3 linked regions of the Rhinolophus ferrumequinum genome follow. The protein of the gene in region 2 interacts with the protein of the main gene of each other region in a pairwise test. Links are inferred from orthologs where the notes say so. Each region holds a gene or a part of one and is shown on either strand. Other genes may lie near its edges.

The links. The genes of interacting proteins can lie anywhere in the genome.
Region 1: the proteins of RALBP1 (region 2) and AMOTL2 interact in binary tests that used the Homo sapiens proteins (3 or more experiments, as listed by UniProt). The two-hybrid records come from large-scale screens. The link is inferred for Rhinolophus ferrumequinum from reciprocal best matches to the Homo sapiens genes RALBP1 and AMOTL2.
Region 3: the proteins of RALBP1 (region 2) and TSFM interact in binary tests that used the Homo sapiens proteins (3 or more experiments, as listed by UniProt). The two-hybrid records come from large-scale screens. The link is inferred for Rhinolophus ferrumequinum from reciprocal best matches to the Homo sapiens genes RALBP1 and TSFM.

What each region holds. Positions count from the first base shown.
Region 1 is NC_046300.1:34,510,748-34,518,584, forward strand, and holds the start of AMOTL2 (angiomotin-like protein 2), read right to left. Parts: upstream 3,003-7,837; 5' UTR 2,664-3,002; intron 92-2,663; 5' UTR 31-91; coding exon 1-30. UniProt on the Homo sapiens protein: Regulates the translocation of phosphorylated SRC to peripheral cell-matrix adhesion sites. Required for proper architecture of actin filaments.
Region 2 is NC_046302.1:8,544,068-8,551,654, reverse strand, and holds the start of RALBP1 (ralA-binding protein 1), read left to right. Parts: upstream 1-4,581; 5' UTR 4,582-4,757; intron 4,758-7,587. UniProt on the Homo sapiens protein: Multifunctional protein that functions as a downstream effector of RALA and RALB. As a GTPase-activating protein/GAP can inactivate CDC42 and RAC1 by stimulating their GTPase activity.
Region 3 is NC_046293.1:56,677,947-56,684,777, forward strand, and holds the start of TSFM (elongation factor Ts, mitochondrial), read left to right. Parts: upstream 1-3,829; 5' UTR 3,830-3,872; coding exon 3,873-3,971; intron 3,972-4,182; coding exon 4,183-4,353; intron 4,354-4,985; coding exon 4,986-5,114; intron 5,115-5,871; coding exon 5,872-5,994; intron 5,995-6,831. Other genes in the region: EEF1AKMT3 (EEF1A lysine methyltransferase 3), read left to right, coding at 1,658-2,049. UniProt on the Homo sapiens protein: Associates with the EF-Tu.GDP complex and induces the exchange of GDP to GTP. It remains bound to the aminoacyl-tRNA.EF-Tu.GTP complex up to the GTP hydrolysis stage on the ribosome.

The DNA.
Region 1 (7,837 bases), on a different chromosome or scaffold from region 2:
TGTCCCAGAGGAGTCTTCCAGCGTCCTCATGCTTCCTTGGCTTGCACACACCCGTCTGGACAATGGCCAGCGGCACGTGGCCCCAGGGCACCTGGGAGGAAAAAGAAAGAAGAGCAATCAGTGGGAGCACATGGAAAAGGGGGGAACTTTCCATTACAGCATAATGGTAAAGAGGACGGTTTAGAATGCCACACAAGCCTGAGTTCAACTGCCAGTGCTGCCCCCTACTGATCAAGGCAAGTTACATAACCTCTGAGCCTCAGTTTCTTCATCAGAAAAGCAAAAAGAATGCTTGCCTCCTGGAGTTGAAATTAAAAGCAGCAGTGGCTGTTGAGATCTTGGTGCACTATCCTTGACAAATGATCCTGGTTGCCATTATAATCATATTCATGGAGACTTACTAGGCCTAGAGAAAGACACCAGTACCTAGAAAGTAATCAATAAGGAACCGCAGCCTCCTGCAGTCAGTCACCTATCAAAAGCCTGATGAGAGACTCCAGGGCAGGCCTAGTTCAAATCTAACCACTGAACTGTCCCATCCAGGGGTGGACAGGGGCCCAGTTTATTGGCAGGTGATAAAGAATGAGTTCAGCCCAGTAGAAGCCCTAGGCAAACGGCCCCCAGTACCCTCTAGAATGAAGCATGTCTGAGCCCCAGCATTGGCACAGCTCACTCACCACCCTTTGCCCTGCCAAGCCTTCCCTGTCATGGGATGACCTTGGCAGTTACTCTGCAAGGTGAATGGGAAGTAGGAGAAAATGCACCTGAATTGGTGAATAAGGGACAAAAGAAGAGAGGCTACACTAGGACAATGGTTTTGTGAGATGAGGCAAAAAGTTGCCACCCATTAAGGTTTGTGGGTCAGTCAGATAGTCTGTGTTGACAGTATCTGCACTGGCACTCCAGGAAAAAGAAAGGAAGAAAGGATGGATGGTGTCTTTGAGTTTACAATTTACCCCCACCTCCACCCCCACTGCTTGGGAAAGACCCCTATCATCCTCTAGCCCCGTAGCAGAGGGGCACTCAGCACCTTCTCGACATCAGTAACAGCCACTTGAGCCGAATGGAGGAGTAAGGGAGCAAGGGGGAGGCTCTTGGTTGCAGGGACCTGGGGGATGTGAGTGCCGGCAGATAACATCTCCTGAGGATGGTGTTCCCTTCCGACCTTGGGCTCCCAGTGGCTCATGCCTGGAAGGCTGCCTGCCTCACCAGGCTTCCTTTCCACAGCCTCCTCCAACACAAACCTCCAAACAGATGCAGGGAAAGCCAAAGAAAACCCACACCTCCACAGGTCCCGCGTATATGGGGGGAGGGGTGTGGGAGGAATGTGGCCCCTCCTCTATCACAAAACTAGCCTCAGTGCGCTGCTGCAGTTTGGGTCTGGCACACTGACAAGAGTAGCCGTTCCCAATCCACTCCCTCCTCCTCCCAGGTGCTCAGAGCTGAGGAGTGGGAGACGAATCTGGAGGGCTTCTTTGTCCTCAGCCTTCCTGGCACTCTATCATGCTGTCCCCTCCCCCTACACACGAGACGAGTGGAGATGCATGACTCCAGAGCGACCAGAGGCAACACAAACAGGAATCAATTTGCCCTAGAGTTTCATCCGCGGGGCATTTTCTAAATTCATCACTGTGGGGCTGACTCCCGCCGAGGAGGAGCGGGGCCACTGCAGAGCTTTCCGGAAACATTCCTGGCCACCTTTCCCAAACAGGCTGCCTGGGAACAGGGAACACCTCCTCGAGGCCTCTCACCCCGTGTGTGTGGGGGTTAAGACCCTCCGATGCACGTCCTCTCGACCGAGCGGCTACTAAAAATCTGCATTCCCCCACCCCACCCCCATCCCTGCGGTGCACCTCGGCTGGGCTAGCGCGCCGGGCTCTCTGAACCCCCATCTTCCTAAGCAAGCACTCATCTCTGGCTTTTCCTTGGGCTCACTCGCCTAAACACCGGAGTGAGGGTCTGTCTCTAAGTCTGATCACGCCGCAGCCAGAGATCCCGTGCTACACGGACTCCCCGCGGACCTCGAGCACTCGGGGGCTGCTGGTGCGCCTAGAGCGAGCGGACCACGGTAGCCGGTGACCCAAGGAGGTCTTTAAGTGTCGCGGGTCCGCCTCCTTCTCTCCCTCGCCAGCCCTCTTTGTTTTCCGAATGCTCCTGCGCTGACGTCACCGGGCTGGACGGCAGGCTGCATTCTTTCTAAGTGAGAGCCAGTTCGTGGCTCCAGAGAGTATTTTCCAAGGAAGACAAAGAGGAATTCTTGGGCTAGTTGGGAGCAAAGACACCTGTAACCCCCACCTAACCAGATCAGCACCCCCAGGTCCTACGACTTGAGTTCGAAGCGGCACCTCCTGCACTATTCCGCGCCCCTCTCCCCGACCCGTGACCAAAACATGAACCGAGCTTTCTCTAGAGATTGCCCCCCAGGCGACCCGTGGTCCTTCAAGGACCCCCAACCCCAGGCACGCGGCACGGCGCACCCCGGGCGGAGTGGCCCTTGCCCGCCTTTGCAGCTGCCTGGAAAGGGTGCACTGCGCCCTGAGGACGCTGGGTCCACCCGGCTCCGGCTCCGGCTCCGGGAAAAGACCGGGCTGCGCCGGAGTTCGGGCTTCTGCGCGTCTCTGCCAGCCCCACACATTCCCCGAGCGCCGAGGAGCCTTCCTTACCGCTGCGGCCCGCGGGTGCTCGGCTCGGTCAGACCCGACGACCCCGCCAGGCTCCGCTCGGCTCAGCAGCGGAGGTGTGTACTCGGCGGTGTCGCCAACGCTCTGGCCGCTCGGGGTCCAGCGCGCAGCCCCAGGGTCGGCCCCCGCCGGAGGCGGCTGCTATGCCAGGAATGTGAGTTTCAGGTTCCCCCTCGGGATCAAAGCGAACCACAAATAACCTCTCAGCGCGCCGCCCTCCTCGGTCCTACGCCTCCTCCCGTTCCCTCCTCCTGGCCCCCGCCTTCCTCCGGGGAGGCGGCGCTGCGGGCTAGGAGCCGGGCGGACACCGGAGCTCCGTTCCTTCGCTGCCAGGGCCCTCCAGGACGCGCTGTGCCCCTCCCCGCCCCGCTCCCCGCCCCGCTCCCCGCCTACCCCACTCCCGCCACGATTTGCCTTCAGAGCTGCTGGGGACAAATTAATCCAACTCAGCATTATCGTCCCAGCCCCCTCCGCGCCTTCCTCTCACCCCTTCATCCTTTGGGCAGAACGACACCGAGGGATGTACATCTATTGTCCCTGAGGGATTCTGGGCGTTGCTGCAGGAGAGGGCTGGGAGTGAGGGTGGGGGCTGTGTGTGTGTGTGTGTGTGTGTGTGTGTACAGGGGGAGGGAGGACTGCAAAATTGTCCCTATCTGCTTAGTTTGGACCGTGCCCCCGCCGAAGAGATGACTGTGCTTCCTGCAGGGAGCCTCTTCTCTAAAACCCACGGCTTTCACCGGCAGCGGCAACCTTTGAATTGCACTTTTATTGTTTACAAACACCTTCACCAGCTTTTTAAGGACCTGCCTCCACAGGAAGTGTGAATCTGGGTTGGAAAATGTTCTGGTTAATTTGACCCACCTAACTGACTGAATCATCCTCCGCCAGGCGCACTGTCCAACTCTAACAGAAAGCAGTGATCAGCACCCCTTTACGCAGATCGCACCGGGTGCCACCACCCGCTTTTCACCTAGTCATCTCTCATTCAGCCCTCCCAGTCATCCTCCCAGGGAGTTCTGTTACCATCCCTGTGTTATAAATGAGGACATCAGGCTCAGAGAAGTTAATTAGCTTGCCCAGGGTCACACAGAGAGTAAGTGATGAAGCCAGGTAATCACTGGGCTGCAGTTTCTCATTCTCAAAACCTTTTCACCGCCGCCAGAATCCAGGCTCCTTCCTGGGACAGGGAAGGCCCTGGGAGCCCACCTCTCTCCATCTGCCCTCTCTCCGTTTCAGTCTCTTCATTTCCTCCTACACTCGGGCCAGCCAGGGGCCCTCCCTTATGTCCACTTCTGTTGCTCCTGCTGTTTCTCCTCTGGATGCGATTTTCTCCTCTGCCTCTAGGACCTTTCCTCCCCCACCTTCCCACTAGGCTGGTCCATCTGTGCTGATGGAAACCCATTCTTCAGAAAGCGTGTTCTGACACAGCCTCCCCATCTGCTGTCCTCTTCCTCCCACAGCTCTGTGTGCCATTCCTGAGCCCTAATCACACTGGGCCTCCAACACCTCCCAGTGGGTGTGTGGCGGGGGTGAGGTGGGGTGGGGGTGGAGTCAGGCTGCTGTCCAAGTTGAGAGTCAGGGCCTACTTCCACCCTTAAGAAGGTCATCTCCTCCCCTCACCATGGCGTTTGCAATTCCCAAACCCACTGGAGGGGACCAGGGACAAGAAAACTTTGTAAGTTCAAAGAGCTATTTACTATCCAGGGACACTGTTAATTTTTAATAAGGCCCTCCCCCAAAATTTGTGTATATGTGTGTAATTTACTTGGAAGCCAAACATTGCATTTCAAATAGTGACCAGCTCTGAGACAAATGAGAAAATCAGTCATTTGTGTTGAGCCAAGGGATATTTGGCCATCCAAGGACCATGTTACAAAGGGAAACTATGATCAATATGCCGCTGTGTCAGCTAGACACACTAGGTAGGAATTTGAGAAATGAAAAGGAAGAGAGAAGAGGGCCCCAGATGGCCTTGCCCTGTGGACAGCATTCTCCTTGGAATCACTTAGTGGAGGTGTGAGAGTGGGTGTGGCCATGTGCACTCTGGGGTTGCAAAATCAGGGGAAAGGTCACATGGTACAGTTCTGTCTTTGGGGCATTTAGGGGACACCTGACAAAACGTTTGACAAACATTCTTGAGATGGTTGCAGAAAGGGGCAGGCCCAAGGCGGCTAGAGTCAAGGAGATGCATCTTGCAGTAGGCAAGTCTGCTGCAGACATAAATAGGCCCTCGTGACTACTCACCTCTGTGTCCCAGAGCAACAGAAGCGGGAGAGGGATCCTGAAACCTGAATGGGAAATTCATACACACTTTTCTTCTCTTTTTTCCTCTTCTCTGCAAGGAGGATGGAGGGCAGGGCCTCCTTGGCAGGACAGGGTCCGAGGCCTCAGTGGAGCCTGCCTCAACTAGCAGCCATAGCCAGCTTTGCAGGGTAGTTGGGTGAGAGGGTCACCACAGCTCAGGTGAGCTGAAGGCAGGTGTGCACAGGTAGGCACTGGTCTGGGCAGCCGGCTAGCACATACACCGTCTTCACTTAAAGTAGGGGAAGAAGGTTTGCCTAGTGAGCTAATGTTTTCTTCCTTCCAGCTTTGTCTCTCGCCATCCACATTGCTCTTTCCCCCTGCAGGTAATGATTCTTCCCAGATGACAGTGTGGCTGGCTGGGTCTAGAATCCTGCTCAGGAAAGATGCAGAGGTGACCCAATCCTCAGAGTAAGCCAGGCTTGATGCCTTTGCTCTGGAAAGTACAGCTCCCAGGGGTGTGGCTGCATCATAGGTGTGTACAGGGCTTAGCAAGGGATCCAGGCACCCACACCCCTTCCCTCCTTAGCCTGGACCTGGGATCAGGCCTGGCCCTGCCGCTGTGTCTCACTGTACCCAACAGGAATATGAAGGTGAGTTCTGAGCTGGACTCTCGCAGCTCCTTCCTATAGAGCTGGAAAGGGAATGGTCTTCTTATTTCCCAAATGGTTGCTTGTTGAAGGAGGGGTTCCAGGGTCACGATGGCAATATTGAAGAAAGACTGCAAGTTGCCAAATCCTCCCAGTTTTCCCTGGACACTTCCTTTGATAGGTTATGGGGAATAGGAAGCCCCCCAGAATCTGGAGCAGGTAGCAAATTCACAGGAAGTCCTAGACATTGGGATGGAAGTTCCAATGCTAGGAACTGGTATCTTTGAGGTAGTAAAGAAGGGAAGATTGGTTTGCAATATTAATGTGACCCCAGACACCTGCCTTTTCTGCACAGCTTCCTTGTGAAGTGAGTACTGATTTGGTGAATGTGCCAATGTGCTTGGAAAGACCCTCTGCTCTTAGCAAGAGGCTGCAGAGAATGTGCAAGCCCTTGGTTTGCACGGCTTATTGTAGAGAAGAGCCCAGGGCAGGTTTTGGTGGCTGCTGGATTCAGGGCCAGTGTGATGAAAGAGTGCCCCCTAGTGAGTCTCATCCCCACAGCTGGGTCAGCTCCTCCCAGGGCTCCCAAGGTGGGTCTTGGGCTCCTGAGCCTGGTAGAAGGGGCATGTTTGGGACATGGTTTCATCCAGGAAACACATGTCTCCCAGGCCCCCCAGAATGAACTAATGGCTCCAGTTGTGTTTCTGACTTTCCTCCCATTTCAGCCTCTCCTGGGTGGTCTTATTTTATTATATTTTAAAATTTTTTTTTTTAGTTTAAATGCATTTTATTTTTAGACAACCTGCCTGAATGTTTTTCTTAAAAACAATGCCTCAGCTGCAAATAAATCAAGGTCAAAATAAACGATGAGCTCAAGATAACACCAGTCCTGTTTGTACCAGCTTTGGTGTGTGGATGTAAAGCAGCCTCCAGTTACGATGACAAGTGATGGATCCAAACCACCAACTCTGTTAGCATTATTTTTTTAACTCTCTAAACCATCCTCAAAGAAAATCACATATGAGGTCCCACTATCCTCACAGTAGTCCAGCAGAGCAACCACGTCATCTGGATTCGTGTTTTCCCCAATAAAGAACTGGTAGTTTTTGGAATTAGCAAGAAAGTGCTTGATTTATTCTGCATCCCCTGTCACAAAAGGTTTTACTCTTTTTTGGTCTGTGTATTTCAAGTTTCCCTGTGATTGATTTCATGTAGTCTTTGATGTACTTCTTGTAGGCTTCTTTTGTGAAGCTGGTTTCCTGCAAATGACAATTATCAACACCAGAGACCACTGTGCTTTCCTGTTCTTTCGCCCTCGGGGTCTTCAGTGGAGGCATTTCCACCAATGAGCGAGTCATCAATGTTCCCCTCATCAATGTTACCCTACTAACCATCTTTCCCTCCAGCTGCAGGCACTGCTGGACCATGGTCTCCTGGATTTTGTAGTTGTGGGAGAACATCTCATCATGACTGATGAGATCCAGGTGGCTGATCATGATGGCCGCTGGAAGGAGACTGTGTCCTGGGGCGCTGGCTTAGCAGGAGCTCGGAGCTAGTGTGATGCAGGGGGAACAGCGCTGGGGGTGGGGAGCAGGTGGGAAAGGCACATGGTCTTTAAAGAGATATCATCTTTAACACAAACAACATTAAATCATTGACATTGAGAGAATACCTTGCATTTACTCACCTATTCACCTTTCCATGCATCTTTTCTGTGTTGTATTTCATGGATTTGTTCAACAAATATTTCCTGAGCACCCACTCTGAGACAGGCCCTATGAATCAAAGGGGGTTTCTATCCTTGTGGAGCTCACAGGTCACTGGGTGCAGGGGAGAAAGAGGCTAGTACATTACACAGCAGAGAGTTCCATCTTGGAATTTGAAAATCTGGGCACAGGGGTGGAGTCATGGCAGGCTTCCTGGATGAAGTACTTCTTTTTTTTATTGGAGAATATTGGGGAACAGTGTGTTTCTCCAGGGCCCATCAGCTCCAAGTCATTGTCCTTCAATCTAGTTGTGGAGGGCACAGCTCAGCTCCAAGTCCAGTCGATGTTTTCAATCTTAGTTGCAGGGGGCACAGCCCACCATCCCATGTGGGAATTGAACCCGCAACCTTGTTGTTAAGAGCTCGTGCTCTAACCACCTGAGCCATCCAGCCACCCCTGAGGAGGTACTTCTCAAGCTGAGCACTAAGGCCAAGATGGACTGTGAGGTGTCTTCCCCAGGCTGGTATCTGGAGAACCAGCACTAGAAGCACAGACTCCC
Region 2 (7,587 bases):
TCATGACTTTTGTTTTACATGAGTTAGAACTTCTTTCCTTTTAAAGGCTAAATAATATTCCACTCTATGTGTATACCACATTTTATGTACCCATCAGTGGACACCAGGGTTGCCTCTACCTGTTGATTATTGCAAATAATGCTACTACAAATGTGAATATGCAAATATCTCTTTGGGTCCCTGATTTCAATTACTTTGGGTACATACTCAGAAGTGGAATTGTTGGATCAAATAGTAATTCTGTATTTAATATTTTGAGGAAAAACAGTACTGTCTTTCACAGCAGATGCACCATTTTATACTCCCTCCAGCTGGCAAAGCCATGGGTTTTTTTTTTACCTCCCACCACAAATCTAGTCGGTCTTCTCTGGCAGCAAAGCTGCTTGTTTTCTTGGCTAGCGCTACCCACTGATAAAACTACAGTTCTGGACGACAGGGCAGTAAAAAAGCAGTCTCAGGCAGAAGGTCATAGACATCTATTGTTCCTCCTAGAATTTCTAGAAGTTTTTCAAGAACAGATGTTTCTCAAATTGTTGTCTATTATTAATAGTCTAGTGCCCTGAAATGGTTGTTTTAGACAATTTTGTCCAGTATTATACCTGTTTTGTGTGCAGAGGAATTGTTGACCATATCACATAGCCATAACTGAAAGTCTCTTCCAGTTTCTTTTTAAGTAGGAACTTGTATTAGTCATGACATTTAAATATCATATAAAAGAAATCCAACTGAATTAGTTAGAACTTTTAGAATTTTGAGTCACAGAAAACACCCAATACAAACTGGATTAAACAGTGCAGGACATTTATGGCTCACAATTCTACGTAGTGTATAGGTTAGTCTATAGGTCAAACAGGTGAGATTTGATAGTGCAGCTCTAATGATGCCACCAAACACAAGGTTCCTCTCCTTTCCAGCACTCATTTGACAGTATTGACTTCATCTTTAGTCTCTACAGGTGCCTCTCCCCTGAACCCTATCCCTTTAGGCTTTCCTCTTGAAGAAACAAAATAGTTGCTACATTTTCAGACTTCATATACTTACACCATACCAGAAGAGGAAGTGTGCTGCAGTTTACTAGAAGTCCCAGCTCAAGTCTCTGGGGGGCTCATTGGTTCTGATTGGGTTGTGTGATCATCTTTGTAACTCTCAGCCACTAGAGGGAATGGTTATGTTACATGACTTAAACGGGAGGAACAAATGCTCAGGAGGCAACCAACAAATATATTCTATAACTATACAAATTAGCCCTAAATAATAATAAATAAATGCATTGGCTCACCTAGCTAGGCTCACACACTCAAAGCACTTAAAGAAGAGTCATACAAAAATCATGGCCTCTGAAACTGAAACTATAGTCTTCATGCTGCCAGCTCTTTGTGTCTCTCCCTTTCCATCCCCCACCTCTGGGCCTCATCCCTTCCTACTTCAGACAGGCTTCTTAGTGTTGTGAAGAACATGGCCAGCTGCAGTTACTTCGGTAAAAAGCTTCTTCCCCTCTCATCCCTATCCGTCTAGCAATTTCAAGCAAGGGCTCAGAAATGCACCAACTTGAGTCAGTGTCTATCTTTTGGCCCGATCAGTGTTGCCCGAGGCAGAGTAACTATCATGATGACATGCCCGTCTGAGTAGTCAGAGGACATTGTTTTGTTGCCAAAAGGGCAATAAAAAAAACTTCAAGCAATCAGAAAACAGTGGTTACCACAGACCATCTTGGTATCCAATTGTGGGAGGCTCTTGAATGTCAAGCTCAGTGGCTGAACTTTATGAGGTAGGAAATGCAGAGTGCAACGGAGAGAGAGATCTACTGTCAGTTTTGTGAGAAGCTGATCTGGGAGGTATAGTGCAGGATGGCTTACAGAGGTCAATCTAAATACGCAATGAAGTTCTAAAGAGCATTGCATGTAGGAATGGAAGGGTTTGGGAAGGACCAACGATCCCAATCGTATTTCCCCTAATAAGTTGCTAAATTTTATAAAACAAGAACACTTCAAAAGACCTCTGATTTCCAGCCATGCATTAATAGAACAATTCTTCAAGCCTTTTGTGGGGACAGAGCCCCAAAAAGCAGTTTCCAGGCTCTCGGCCTCACATAGAAAGGTGCTGGCTCAGGTAGTAAATGGCCATCGACTGTGATCAAATGGCCATCAGCTGTGGCTAGTTGGCCGTCAGCTGTAACCAGTGAGCCATTGGGCACTAATATAACTGCCGTGGCTAGGCTAGCAAAAAATGGGGGCTAGCAAGATGGTGGCTGGGCTAGCAAGAGCGGATTGCAGAGAGGTGGATGCCGCCAGTGAGAATATAGTGGTATGACTCCCCTACCTATGGCTCTGTGGGTGTTCCTTTTTCTCACCATGTCCTGCATTCTTATGTGGGGAGCGAGACCAGAGACCCCGCAGGCCGCCCCGCATGACACATGGCGTAGTCGGCAGGATCCCCTGCACGACAAATGGCGCAGTGAGCAGGGTACGGTGCCGGCCAAAGCTCTCCGAAGGGCGGTGGAGCAGTTTGTGCATATGAACACTCAGTCTTAGGAAGACCAGTAGGAGCTGCTGCCGGGGAGAGCTCGACCCCCGTGGAGGGGTGGAAAGACGTGGACGGTTCCCCAACCAGCAGAGGCCGGAGAAAGCAAAGGTCCTTGCAGCCCTGTGGTCTGGGAAGTTCTTGCTGAGGCAGCCCAGACACGGGACTTGTCCCAGGAGGAAAGGCTTGCTGAGTCCTCCGTGGGAGATGTGGGTGAGGTCAAGGTCATCCCTCACCCCCAGGACAGCCCTGGCGAATGACTGTGGACTGTGGGGAATTGCCTTCCATCCCTAATTTAATGGACCACTTGACTGTTTGGGAACATACCACCATGTAGTGGTACTGGCGGATATTTGCTTTTGTGTCTTGACCGGCCGCCATCAAGAATATGTAAGCACCTTGACTGTGAGTCGCTGTTGTTCCACCATGGTACCAAGAGGCCCAGAGAGAGTGGCAATGCCCTGAGAGCCCTGGCTGAGTCCAGGAGGTCTGGCTGTGCCCAGAGAGAGTGGCAGTGCCCTGAGAGCCCTGGCTGAGTCGAAGTCTGGCTGTGTCCAGAGAGAGTGGCAGTGCCCTGAGAGCCCTGGCTGTGCCCAGGGAGACTAGTGGTACCCTAAGAAGTCCAGGAAGTCTGGCTGTGCCCAGAAGTACTGGTGGTACCCTGAGAAACCCTGGCTGTGCCCAGAGAGCCTGGCTGTGTCCAGGAAATAGCATTCACCTCCAGGCTCCTCGCACAGGGCCCCTCACGAAAGACGCTTGTCGCGTAGATTGTGAGGCGAGACCCCGTAGGGGTGGAGTGTGGGGATAGAGCCCCAAAAAGCAGTTTCCAGGCTCTCGGCCTCACATGGAAAGGTGCTGGCTCAGGTAGTAAATGGCCATCGACTGTGATCAAATGGCCATCAGCTGTGGCTAGTTGGCTGTCAGCTGTAACCAGTGAGCCATTGGGCACTAATATAACTGCCGTGGCTACACTAGTAAAAAATGGGGGCTAGCAAGAAGATGGTGGCTGAGCTAGCAAGAGTGGATTGCAGAGAGGCGGATGCCGCCAATGAGAATATAGTAGTATGACTCCCCTACCGATGGCTCCGTGGGTGTTCCTTTTTGGCCTCACCATGTCCTGCATTCTTATGTGGGGAGCGGGACCAGAGACCCCACAGGCCGCCCCGCACGACCCCTTTGTGCAGGATTTCCTCCAGAAACCCAGTTGTTTCCAGTCTTCCTCATGGCTCAGTTCTAGTTGCAAGCTAACCATGCTCTGGGCGGTTCTAATTCAGATGTTCCTTTGTAAATGTTGAACCAAAAAGGGCGATGGAAGACAGCAGTCCTGCTGTTACACAAGAACCAAGGACTATTCCTTTTTCAGCACCCACTTTGGGAATTCTGAAGAAGGTCCCGACAGTTTTATGTAAATCTCTCCTTAAAGACCCACAGCGCTTGCTTTAACAACCTCCCTCTCCCTCCAGTGCAGGAGTCCCCACCCCAAGCAAAAGATGCCCCACCCAGCCCAAGGCCGGGAAGATGTCCCACCCAGCCGCAGGCTGGGCCGGCCTCCTAGGCTGGTTTAACTGGTTAGGACAACAGAAGCCCGCTGGCACAAAAGGTCTGAACTTCAGTAGCTGAGGAACAGGCTTGCCACAGCATGGAGACGAAAGGTATTTCCTTTTTCAAGATCACCACAGGTAGCGCCCCCAAACCACCTACGCGGACAGTATTTGCTTGGGGTAGGTGTATGTCCCACCCAGTCCCCCAAGACCAGGAACTGCGCAGGCTCCCACAGAGCGCTAGCGCGGCGCGTTCTCTCGCGCTCCCTCAGTCTCCTCAGCGAGCTACTGGGCCGAAGGAGGCGCGGTTCTTCCTGGGTGTTGTAGTATACTTCCTCGACGAAGTGCCCTCCTGTAGGTTGGGCGCTTGGGTTTTCGAGAACTACGCCTCCCAGTGTGCCCCGCGCGACGGCACAGGGCGTTTACCCTCGTCGGCCTTAGCCGTCAACGCACAGAAGAGGACCCGGGAAGCCGGCTGCGGCGGGAGGAGGGAATGCGCTTGCGCGCTGGGCCGGCTCGTCTTGTTCTGTCCCAATCATTGTAAACAGGCGGAGGCTGGGGCGGGTTGGGAATGGGGCTCCCAAGGCCGGTCTGGGGCGCAGCGCAGGAGGCGGCTACGGTGGCTGCGGTGGCAGCGTGAACGCGAGGAGGAGGTGGCTGTGGCGGGGGCGGCCGGTCGCGCGGCGGCGGGCTCAGGTTGGTAGCGGTCAGCGGTGGCGTGCGGGGTCGCAGCCTTGCCAGTCGCGTGTCCGGAGAGCCCTCTCCGCAGCCGCGTCTGTATCTGGCAGCGTGCTGGGCTGGGCGCTAGCCGCACGCCGGGCTGGAGTTGGGGGTGGGGGGCGTGGCTGCCCCACTGCGGGTTCATAGCCCGCAGGCTTCTCTTCAGTTCTCGCCCCCTTCGCTGTGCGTTCCTCCCACTTGCCAGCCGGGCCTCCCTCATGGCAGCCGCATTTGTGATTTGGTGCTCCTGGGGTCGGGAGGAGGGGAGTCAGGAACAGAACCCCTCCCTCCTTGGGGTTCCAGGCCTCAGGGCAGTTCTGGGGCACACCGGAACGGAGGAGAGGACTGTCTTTTATATAACCGCTATTTTCTAATCGCATCCGGAATATTGACCCGTCTCTAGTGCTTGCCCAGTGGACTAGGAACACGCTTTTGATGTTTCCCACCGCTGGCATGGAAGCAGTGGGGCTCCTTTGGGTGCTGCGGTCCTTAGTTCAGGTTTCAGTGGGAATGGACGGACAGTCTGGGGTTCAGAATTCCTTTCACAGCGCACTTTCAAGTATGCTTGTACCAAAATGCTGTTATTGAGGTCAGCTTTTTTTTTTTTTTTTTAAATCGTTGTGTGAGTGAAACAGGTTTTGCAAAATATTTCACATCTCAGTCTTATCTAAAGTGATCATGCTGTTTCAAGTTTGGGGATTCATTACTACAGAGCCTCCCTCTTGAGCAAGCATCAGGATTCCCGTAGGGCCTAAAAGAGTTCTAGATAATAATTAAAATGTTAACTCGAGATAGTTTGAATGTGCGTGTCAAAGAAGTACAGTCGTTTGGACGTTGAGTTAACACACCATCTAGCCTCATTAGAAAAGTTATCACTGAATTTTTTGTTTAGTGGAGTGGTCATGTTCAAATGCTGGAGCACTTTGAGTAGCATTCCGTCATACTTGGCAGCTATTCACAAAATATTTAAGTGGTGATAAGCAACAGGCCCACTTTTGGTTTGGTGGTCACGGAGGCAGCACTTTTAAATGGGACTGTGAATGAGAAAGGTAACCTCACTTTCTGCCTTTGGAGTTATTTTGGTGATTTGATTATTACTTTCTGAGTATCTTGCTGAAGATGAGTAATTGCCATAAGCTGTATTGGCAGTAGTAGATGTAGGAAGGAAGTAGAGTGGTTCCCACTTTTCATAAGTGACCCATAAATTTATGTAGGGTAGGTTAGTTTAACAGTAACAGTTGAGAATTCTTTAAACAAAGTACCTTCAAGCAATGTGACATAACTTAAATGCTATCTCTTCAGAATAGTATTTCTCATTTTAGATCTGGGAGGGACCATTTCTCCCCTCATTTAGAAAAACAGAAGTGGTATAAAAAAAACACATATTAACTTTAATTTCTATTTGCACAGTTGTATGCTTGACCAGGAGAGGTTGGGTCCCGAACGTAACCCAAAAGTATGTTCTTTCTTTTCTGAAAGAAAAATTCCAAGAGAAACTTATGTTAGTTTACAAGGAGACAATAAAGAAAAATGCAGGTCATTTAGTGTAGAGGAATTACTTGTAGCAGGTACTGTGCCAGGAGATGAGGACTTACAAATGGATAAGGCAGTAGCCTGCCTTCAGGGTGGTAAGACTTTATCTCTTACTTGAAATGTCAACAAGTACAATATGTTTTTAAGATTGCTTTGATTGGAGAAAGTATGCGGATACAGTGGGTGTAGAAATGAGGAAGTGGTCAGTTTCTTAAGGAAGAGAAGGAGAGACTGAGGAAGGGGCAGTAGTAAGGAGACAGCGTGTAGAGGAGGGGATGAAAACAACAGGTATACATGCATAGAAAGGTGGCCATTTAGGTAGAAGGAACAGTGCCAGCAAAAGCACAGGAGTCTAAACTTACACAATGAGTTGTAGGATCCGCAGGTGTAACCAGCAAGAATGTAGGGTGGTGGCAAGACATGAAACTGGGGAGGTAGGCAGAGACCAAATTATGGATAGTCTTGTATACAGTAGAAGTAATTTCAGCTTTACCTTGTAAGCACATAGGAGTCATTGAGACTGGATAAACAAGAGAGGCCTAAGCCAGCCCCATCCATTTCCACTCCCTGATGTGTTAAGTATTATATCAGGTGCTTTATAGTCTATGTCCTTTAACTTAAGGAAGGCTTAGGCATGACTGAGGAAGAAAATGGGGAGAAAGCAACTTAAGGCAGAGGGAAAGTGGGACATAATTAGAGAGAGCATGGTACACTTTTAAGAATGGGAAGCTCTCCACAGCTATAGCGTTGAGTTAATTATAAATACTGGGATTATGGTAAGTAGCAGAAGATGAGGCTGCGCAGATAGATCCTTCAAATGTTGCATGCTATTCTAAGGATGGTAGACGTTTTTTCCTGTAGATAATAATAGAATATATGAATTTTAATCAGGAAAGAGTCATAATAAGGTTTATTTTAGAAAGGTCATTCTGCTATTGTATAGATTTCAGAAGAGATAGAGGAACAATAAGGCAGGATGCAGAAAGACTGCTTAGGAGTTTTTGTAATACTTGAGGTGACAGATAAGGGCCTAAACAAAGGTAGTGTCAGTGGAGATACAGAGGATTAGGTTAATAACACAAATATTTAGAAGGTAGAAGTCATAGGATTCAGTAACAATTGGATTTGGGGAGTGAGAAATAGTAGGGTAAAATGACTTGGATTTTCATTTGGGTGATTGAATAAACAATAGTAATGGAATAAACAATGAGATGGAATTCTGGAAGAGGTCCATATTTGGGGAGGAATAGTATTTTAGCTTTTGGATATACGG
Region 3 (6,831 bases), on a different chromosome or scaffold from region 2:
GGTTCAGGAGCAGTGCTGAGAGCCCTTCCTTTTTCTGTCTACACTCTCTCCCAAGCAATCCCATCACCTCATGGATTTCAATGCCCTTTCTATGCTGATCGCATTCTAACCAACTGAGCCATCCAGCCACCCCTCTGGAAGCTCTCTGGAAGCTCAGCAGCAGCTCGTTGTCTTCAATCTAGTTCTGGAATGCACAGCTCTCTGGCCCACGCGGGAATCAAACCGGCAACCCTCTTGTTCAGAACTCACACTCTAACTAACTGAGCCATCTGGCTGTCCTCAGAGTAATCTTTTAAAAGCATAAGTTAATGTATGTCATTCTTCCATTTAAAATTCTCCAATAGCTTCCTATCTCACTCAGACTAAAAGCCAAATTTCCCACAGTCTCCTGACAAGGCCCCCGTTAGGATTTGGCTCCTACTCTTATCCCCCTCACTTACTCTGCTCCAGTCACTGGCCTTCTTGCTGCTCCTTAAGCCTGCCAGACACTGCCCTACCTCAATGTCTTTGCACTTGCTGGTCCCTCGTTGGGTGCGTTTTAGCCTGAGAGATCCATCTGGTTTGTTCCATTATTTCCTTCCATTTTTTTGCTCAAATATATCTGCTCGGTAAGGCTTTCCCTAACCACCCAATTTAAAATTACCTTCCCTGCTTGTCCCCCAAGCAGTTCTTACCCTCCTTCCCTGCTTGTAGCTTCACCAGAGTAATTTATTACTATTTGACATACAGTGTATTTTATGTATTTTGTTTGTTGTCCATTTCTTGCCAGTAGACTATAAGCTCCAGGAGCAGAGGGATTCTCATCTGATTGGTTTATTCTCAGTACCTGGCATATAGGCATGTAATAAATATTAATGAATGAATTCTTAATACTTCTCGTTTCTATAATGGCCATCATGATGATGATTAAAGAGTTTTGCAGTACTTAGTGTGTCTCTACCTCTAGAATAAAACTCAAGGAAGGCTGAGGTTTTGTCTTGCTCACCACTGTATCCCCAGAACTTAGTAGGTGCTCAATACATATACTTTCTGAGACGCTAATCTGATCATCTTGACCTCCTACTTCTGCCTTTAAAACCTATTGCCCTCAGAATCAAGCCTGAATCTCCTTAGCATGTCATAACCATTTTTCTCTTTACTCTCATGTCTTGACACTTTTTTCCTCCCTTCTACATTCTCTAAGATCTAGCCTTCCTTGAATATGCTGTGCTCTCTCACCTCCAGGCCTTTGTACTCTCTGCTCTCTGCTTGGAAAACTCCCCCGGACTAACTCCTACTTGTCCTTTAAAGCTCACTGAGGTCATGTCTTCTGGGAACTTTTCCAGACCCCCGAAGGCTGATCTGTGTCAGTAGGGGGTGGGTACATAGCCCATCTCTAGCTTAGTGCTGCCAGGCTTCTGCTGACATACTTGTATGATTGCTGTGTTTGGGGCAGAGAGGTTGAAGATTAGCTTAGAGAGAATGTTGATGTTGTAGAATGTAGAGTAGTGAAAATGGCGGTGGGTAAGATGGAGGTTAGGGCAACTAAAAGCCAAAGTATGGACTTCGGGTTGTCAAGACATTTTCCTCCAGGTCCAGAGATCTCTGGACCTTCTGGGCAGGAGCCAAAACCCCTTGGTTGGTCCTTCTGACTTGATTTCTCCTCCCTTTTTCTCAGGGGGTGATGTTACCATCACTGACCTACCCCTGGCCCTAGAACAGATCCAGCTCAACGTCCAGGCCAATGTGCCAGCTGGAGGCCGGGCCCAGGTCCGTGCCTTGTCCTGGGGGATTAACCAACATGTCTTCCCTGGAGACTATGACCTGGTGCTGGGGGCTGATATCGTGTATCTGGAGCCCACCTTCCCACTGCTGCTGGGGACCCTCCAACACCTGTGCGGGACCCATGGCACCATCTATCTGGCCTCCAAGATGAGAGAGGAGCATGGGACAGAGAGCTTCTTTCAGCAACTCCTGCCCCAGCATTTTCAACTGGAGCTGGCCCAGCGGGATGAGGATGAGAATGTCAACATCTATAGGGCCAGGCACAGGGAACCAAGACCTGCTTGATGTCACCTTCTGCTCCTTTGAACTCCTTGTCCTAATGAAGGAACTGCCATGTCTCCAAAGCCAGAAACATAAGGACCAAAAAGGATGGATTTCCCTTGCCTTTCTGTTTCCTCCTTCCCTCTTAGTTCCCCCAGATTCTCTTGGGCAGGTGCAAGGAGGTGCCTGCTTGCTAGGAATCCTAGAGCCCTAGCAACACTGGGTTAGAGTGCAAAGGAAGTTCCCAGCTCTTGTTCTCAGCAGAGGAAGATGGGAAGGTATCCAGGGTTTTTAGGGTGGTGGGGGGAAGTAAATGGGATGTGAGAGCAGGGGCTACAGAGAGACTATCATTGATTACTTCCTCTCCTGCTGTTGTCCTTTTATACAGAATAGATTTGCGGGGGTGGGGGGGGGGAGGATGCAGATTCTACTGGAATTTTTTTAAAAGGAAAAAAACATAAGCATTAAATATCTCTTCTGCATCCAAGGAAATCAGGCTTTTGTTGGGGGGCTGGAAGGAAGAAGCCTCAGACCACCCACTTCTTGCTTCTAGAGTCTGGTGGGCCCATGGCTCCAACTGGGTCAAGTTCTCCCGGGCCTGAAGCTGGGGATAGGCAGCAGAGCTGTCCTCTGGACTGTAACTTCATCCTTTTCGGAGCTGGGGTCCTGACCACTGAGTACTAGGTTCTTCTTCTCTTTAAGTTTCCAAGTCCTGTCAGTCCTTCTTTCCTAATGTGTTTTACCTTCAGCTCTTTTCTCTTCCCACTGTGGAACCTCTGGTTGGGGTTCTCCTTACTTAATCCTTGGGCCACATATCACCTCCTCTGGACTCCTGGACTTCAACTCTTGTGATCTTCCAAAGTCAGCTCTGCTTAGCTTCTGCTGCTGCCTGCAGAAGTAAGAGTAAGCTCCTCTGCTGGGTACTCAGTCTACCCTCTGCTTCATGTCCTACTGGTTTCCAACATGATTGCAACCTTGGACCAAATTGCGTAAGGTCTACTATTTGTTCCCTAAATCCATACCAAGATTCCCTCACTTATTTCTTCTTCTTCTCCTTCTCCTTCTCGTTCTCCTTCTCCTTCTTCTTCTCGTTCTCCTCCTCCTCCTCTTCCTCCTGCTTCTCCTTTTTTTAATGATTCCCTCCCTAGAAGGGCTATTTCTACCTGTTAAAATCTTCATTACGCTTAGCCTATATGCTGAAAAAAGCTTTTCCTGAGCCACCTGTTTGGATGTAATTTATTTCTCCCTTGACACTCTTTAACTGTTTGTTCATCTAATGGGACTTAACTTGTCTTGTGTGGTCATATGTCTGCTCCCTATTTTTTTCACCATTAGATTACCTTGGAGGGTAGGGCTGTGGTTTACTTACTTATAATTCCCTGAAGCCTAGCACAGTTCCTGGCACAACGTAGGTGTTCAGTAAATATTTTGTTCATTCAACAAATATTTATTGGGTTTATTGGAGGGATTGCACCACGACCTCCTTAGGCAGCCTCTGGCAAATTTCTGAACCTACCCACCTACCTCACAATTTTGTCTTGAGTCATAAGTCGATAATAAATATGAAAGCGCATTTGAAGTAAACAAAGTGTCACCACATGCCTTGTACTGTTATTTTGTGACGGCTTTCTCTCATGGTTTCCTGTTTCACCTGTGGGGAGGTAATTCCTTCCCGAAATGTAGTTTCAATAAACCAAGTAGGGGACGCGAATGCGCTCCCTCCGACCAGCAGGTGGCACTGTCCCGATCGGGCGCGTCGCAGTGGAGAGGTTTGGCCCCGCCGCCACGCCGTAGGCCCGTGGCCTCACCCGTGGGCCCGCGGGCTGTAGTGTCCGGCGGCCGGAGAAATGTCGCTGCTTCGGTCCCTGCGTCTCTGCCAGGTAGCACGGACCGGGAGCTGCTCGGTGAGGGGTTTTGGCCCTAGCACCGACCTGCCTTCCTTTAAGGTCTCCCGTGCACTCCTACCTCTGACCCCCTTTCGACTCCATCCCACCTTTCCCCCTACCTCTTTGCCTCTCCGTGGTCCAGCCCCCGCGCGCTGCCTTTCCCCCAACCCCGGGGACCCACCCTGTCCTAAGGTCGCCTCCCTGCCGACGTGCCTTTCACCCTTGGAGCACCTGGCTGCTTCATCCCTTTATTCTTACCCCCTCCCCCCAGGCAGGATCCCTGCTTCAGTCGCCCCAGCCGCGGCACACATTTCATGCTGGGCCCTGGCTGTCCTCCTCGGCCTCCAACAAGGAGCTCCTCATGAAGCTGCGGCGAAAAACGGGCTATTCCTTTGTTAACTGCAAGAAAGCTCTGGAGACTTGTGGCGGGAATCTCAAACAGGTGTGGGGGAGGCGGGAGAGGGGGGCAGGGAGGGGTACTAGGGCCCAGTCCCAGTCTTTTAGGGATGTCACGCTGGGGAGCACAGAAGTCAGGTCTGCTGTCCGGTGACTCAACGGCAGACCTCTAGATAGGATTCTCACTTAAATGACCTCAGCCTTTGACTATTATTTAGAAGCAGTTGACTCAGGATCTCAGGGCTAACAAACCCTATTCCATGCAAAACTGCTATGTTGTTACGTGCTGCTTAGAGCTGAAAGGGCATGTTTGAACTTTGGAGTCAGACGGACCAGGACTCATCCTGTGACCGTGGACCACTTCTTGCTTCTAGAGAGTCTGGTGGGCCCACCTTACTTAATCTTGCAGTGTTGCATTGTTCTTGTATATATAAATGAAAATACCACTATCTGCTCCATAAGGTTGTTGTGAAGATTAAACTTATCCAAAGCAACAGACACAATGCTTGGTATTTGGCCTTTCATGGTAGGCTGCCAGTAAATGATAGATTACTTCAGTTTCTATTATGGGATTGAGGGGAAGCAGAAAGAGTCAGGGGATTTGAACATATTTTAGAGCCCCATTCAGTTCTAAATTCTCTGACTTTGTCATCTGCCCTTTTTCTTTTCAATTTATAGGCAGAGAGCTGGCTTCATGAGCAGGCCCAGAAAGAGGGCTGGAGCAAAGCTGCCAAGCTTCATGGGAGGAAAACTAAAGAAGGCCTGATTGGGCTGCTGCAGGAAGGAAACACGACTGTGTTAGTAGAGGTGAGTTGTCAGAAGTTCAGACACCAGGAACTTCGGGGTAAGGATTTGTGGTAGACTCTTTGCATTCTTAAAGAAGAGACGTTTGAGAGCCACAAAGGGTATTTGAATTAAACCTGTGAGATCACAGTTATTAGTTGTGGATTCATTTAAGTTCAGAAATACACAGGTATGTTGATGAGAAAAGGCCTAGCAGTCTAGAATATTACTCCTAAATGTGAGCCTAGTGTAGCCTTACACCTTGTCACTGATTCTTTCCTGGAACAGTTAGATTTTAAAGCTAAGAATTATATTAATTAATTAGTTGATGGATAGAGAGTAGCTGTTTTAGAGATTTGGGGGCCCCAATTGTTGAAGAATCAGATGTGGATTAGAGTGAGATTGGGGTGGATTAGAGTTTAAAGAGAAGGAGATAAATAAACTGAGCAAAAGTAGTTTGTAGTTGGGGGTGAATGAGGTATTATGGCATGCAGCCACAGGCACGTGGTGAAGTTGTAGTGAGTCTTTTGGGGACCTTACGGAACCATCTTCTGAATGTGCACGTCATTGCTAACTCAGGGACCGAGCAGGAATCACTTCATTTAGTTTCTGGCCTCAAACTAGGAGAGGAACTGCAGCTTTAAAATTCTGGGGTCATTTATTTCTGCTTTGTTGAGTCTACAGCTTGTTCTATCAATACCTTGGTTTACTCTCCAACTTAAGGCACTTTTGGAAACTATCAGTAAACAGCTTATATAGCAACTTCAATTTGTTCCCACAGGTAAACTGTGAGACAGATTTTGTTTCAAGAAATATAAAATTTCAACAATTAGTCCAGCAAGTAGCCTTTGGAGCCATGTTGCATTGTCAGAGCCTAAAGGATCAACTCTCCACATACAGTAAAGTGAGTTTTGCTGTCTCCAACATGCTGGATTTGTTACCCCCTACCTCCCTTAGAGTCTTTGCTATTCCCTTTTTTCAGACATTCTGATGCCTCACTTCCTTACTTCATGTCTCTGCTTAAATGTTACCTCTTTGGAGAGGCATACCCTTCTTCCTGTGGCTCTGTCCCCTTATTTTACTTCATTTAAAAATCTTTTGCTGTTGTACTTATATATTACATTTTTATTTATTTGTATGTTCTCTGTCTTCCCCAATAGAACACAAGCTGCATGAGGCAGGGAAATTTGCCTTTTCACTACTGTGTTTCTGATGAAAGAGAAGTGGGCCCAGCCCTTGGTTGAGGCTTGGTAACTGTGTGTTAAATGAATGAATGAATGCCACTTGGGTGGAGTCAGTCAAATCATGTGCAGATTTGTATTTAGAAATCTAGAATGGCCTGAGGTAAGGATTCCTAAATAAAGGTACTGTGAAAGGCACAATTTAGGAGAATAATCATAGTCTTGTCCATAGAAAGATCAAGGAAGGAGTTATATCAGTTTGCCTTTGATTCAACCTTATTTTCAGGCAAAAATGAACCAACTACTTACACAACTTTTTTGTGTTTAGTACCACCCTTTTTCTCCTATTTCTCCTTTTCTTGAGATCTCATGGTAAAAGTTACTGGCATTAAATAGTCACATTACATGGAAAACTGTGTTGAGATGATTTCTTAGAATTGTATTGAGTGGATGTGTCACTTGAACTAGAAATCTTAATCTTGACTTTGCCATTAATTCTATTTGCAACCCTGAGCCATTCACTTTCCTGTGCTTTTCTGTTTCATTATCTGTAACAGGGA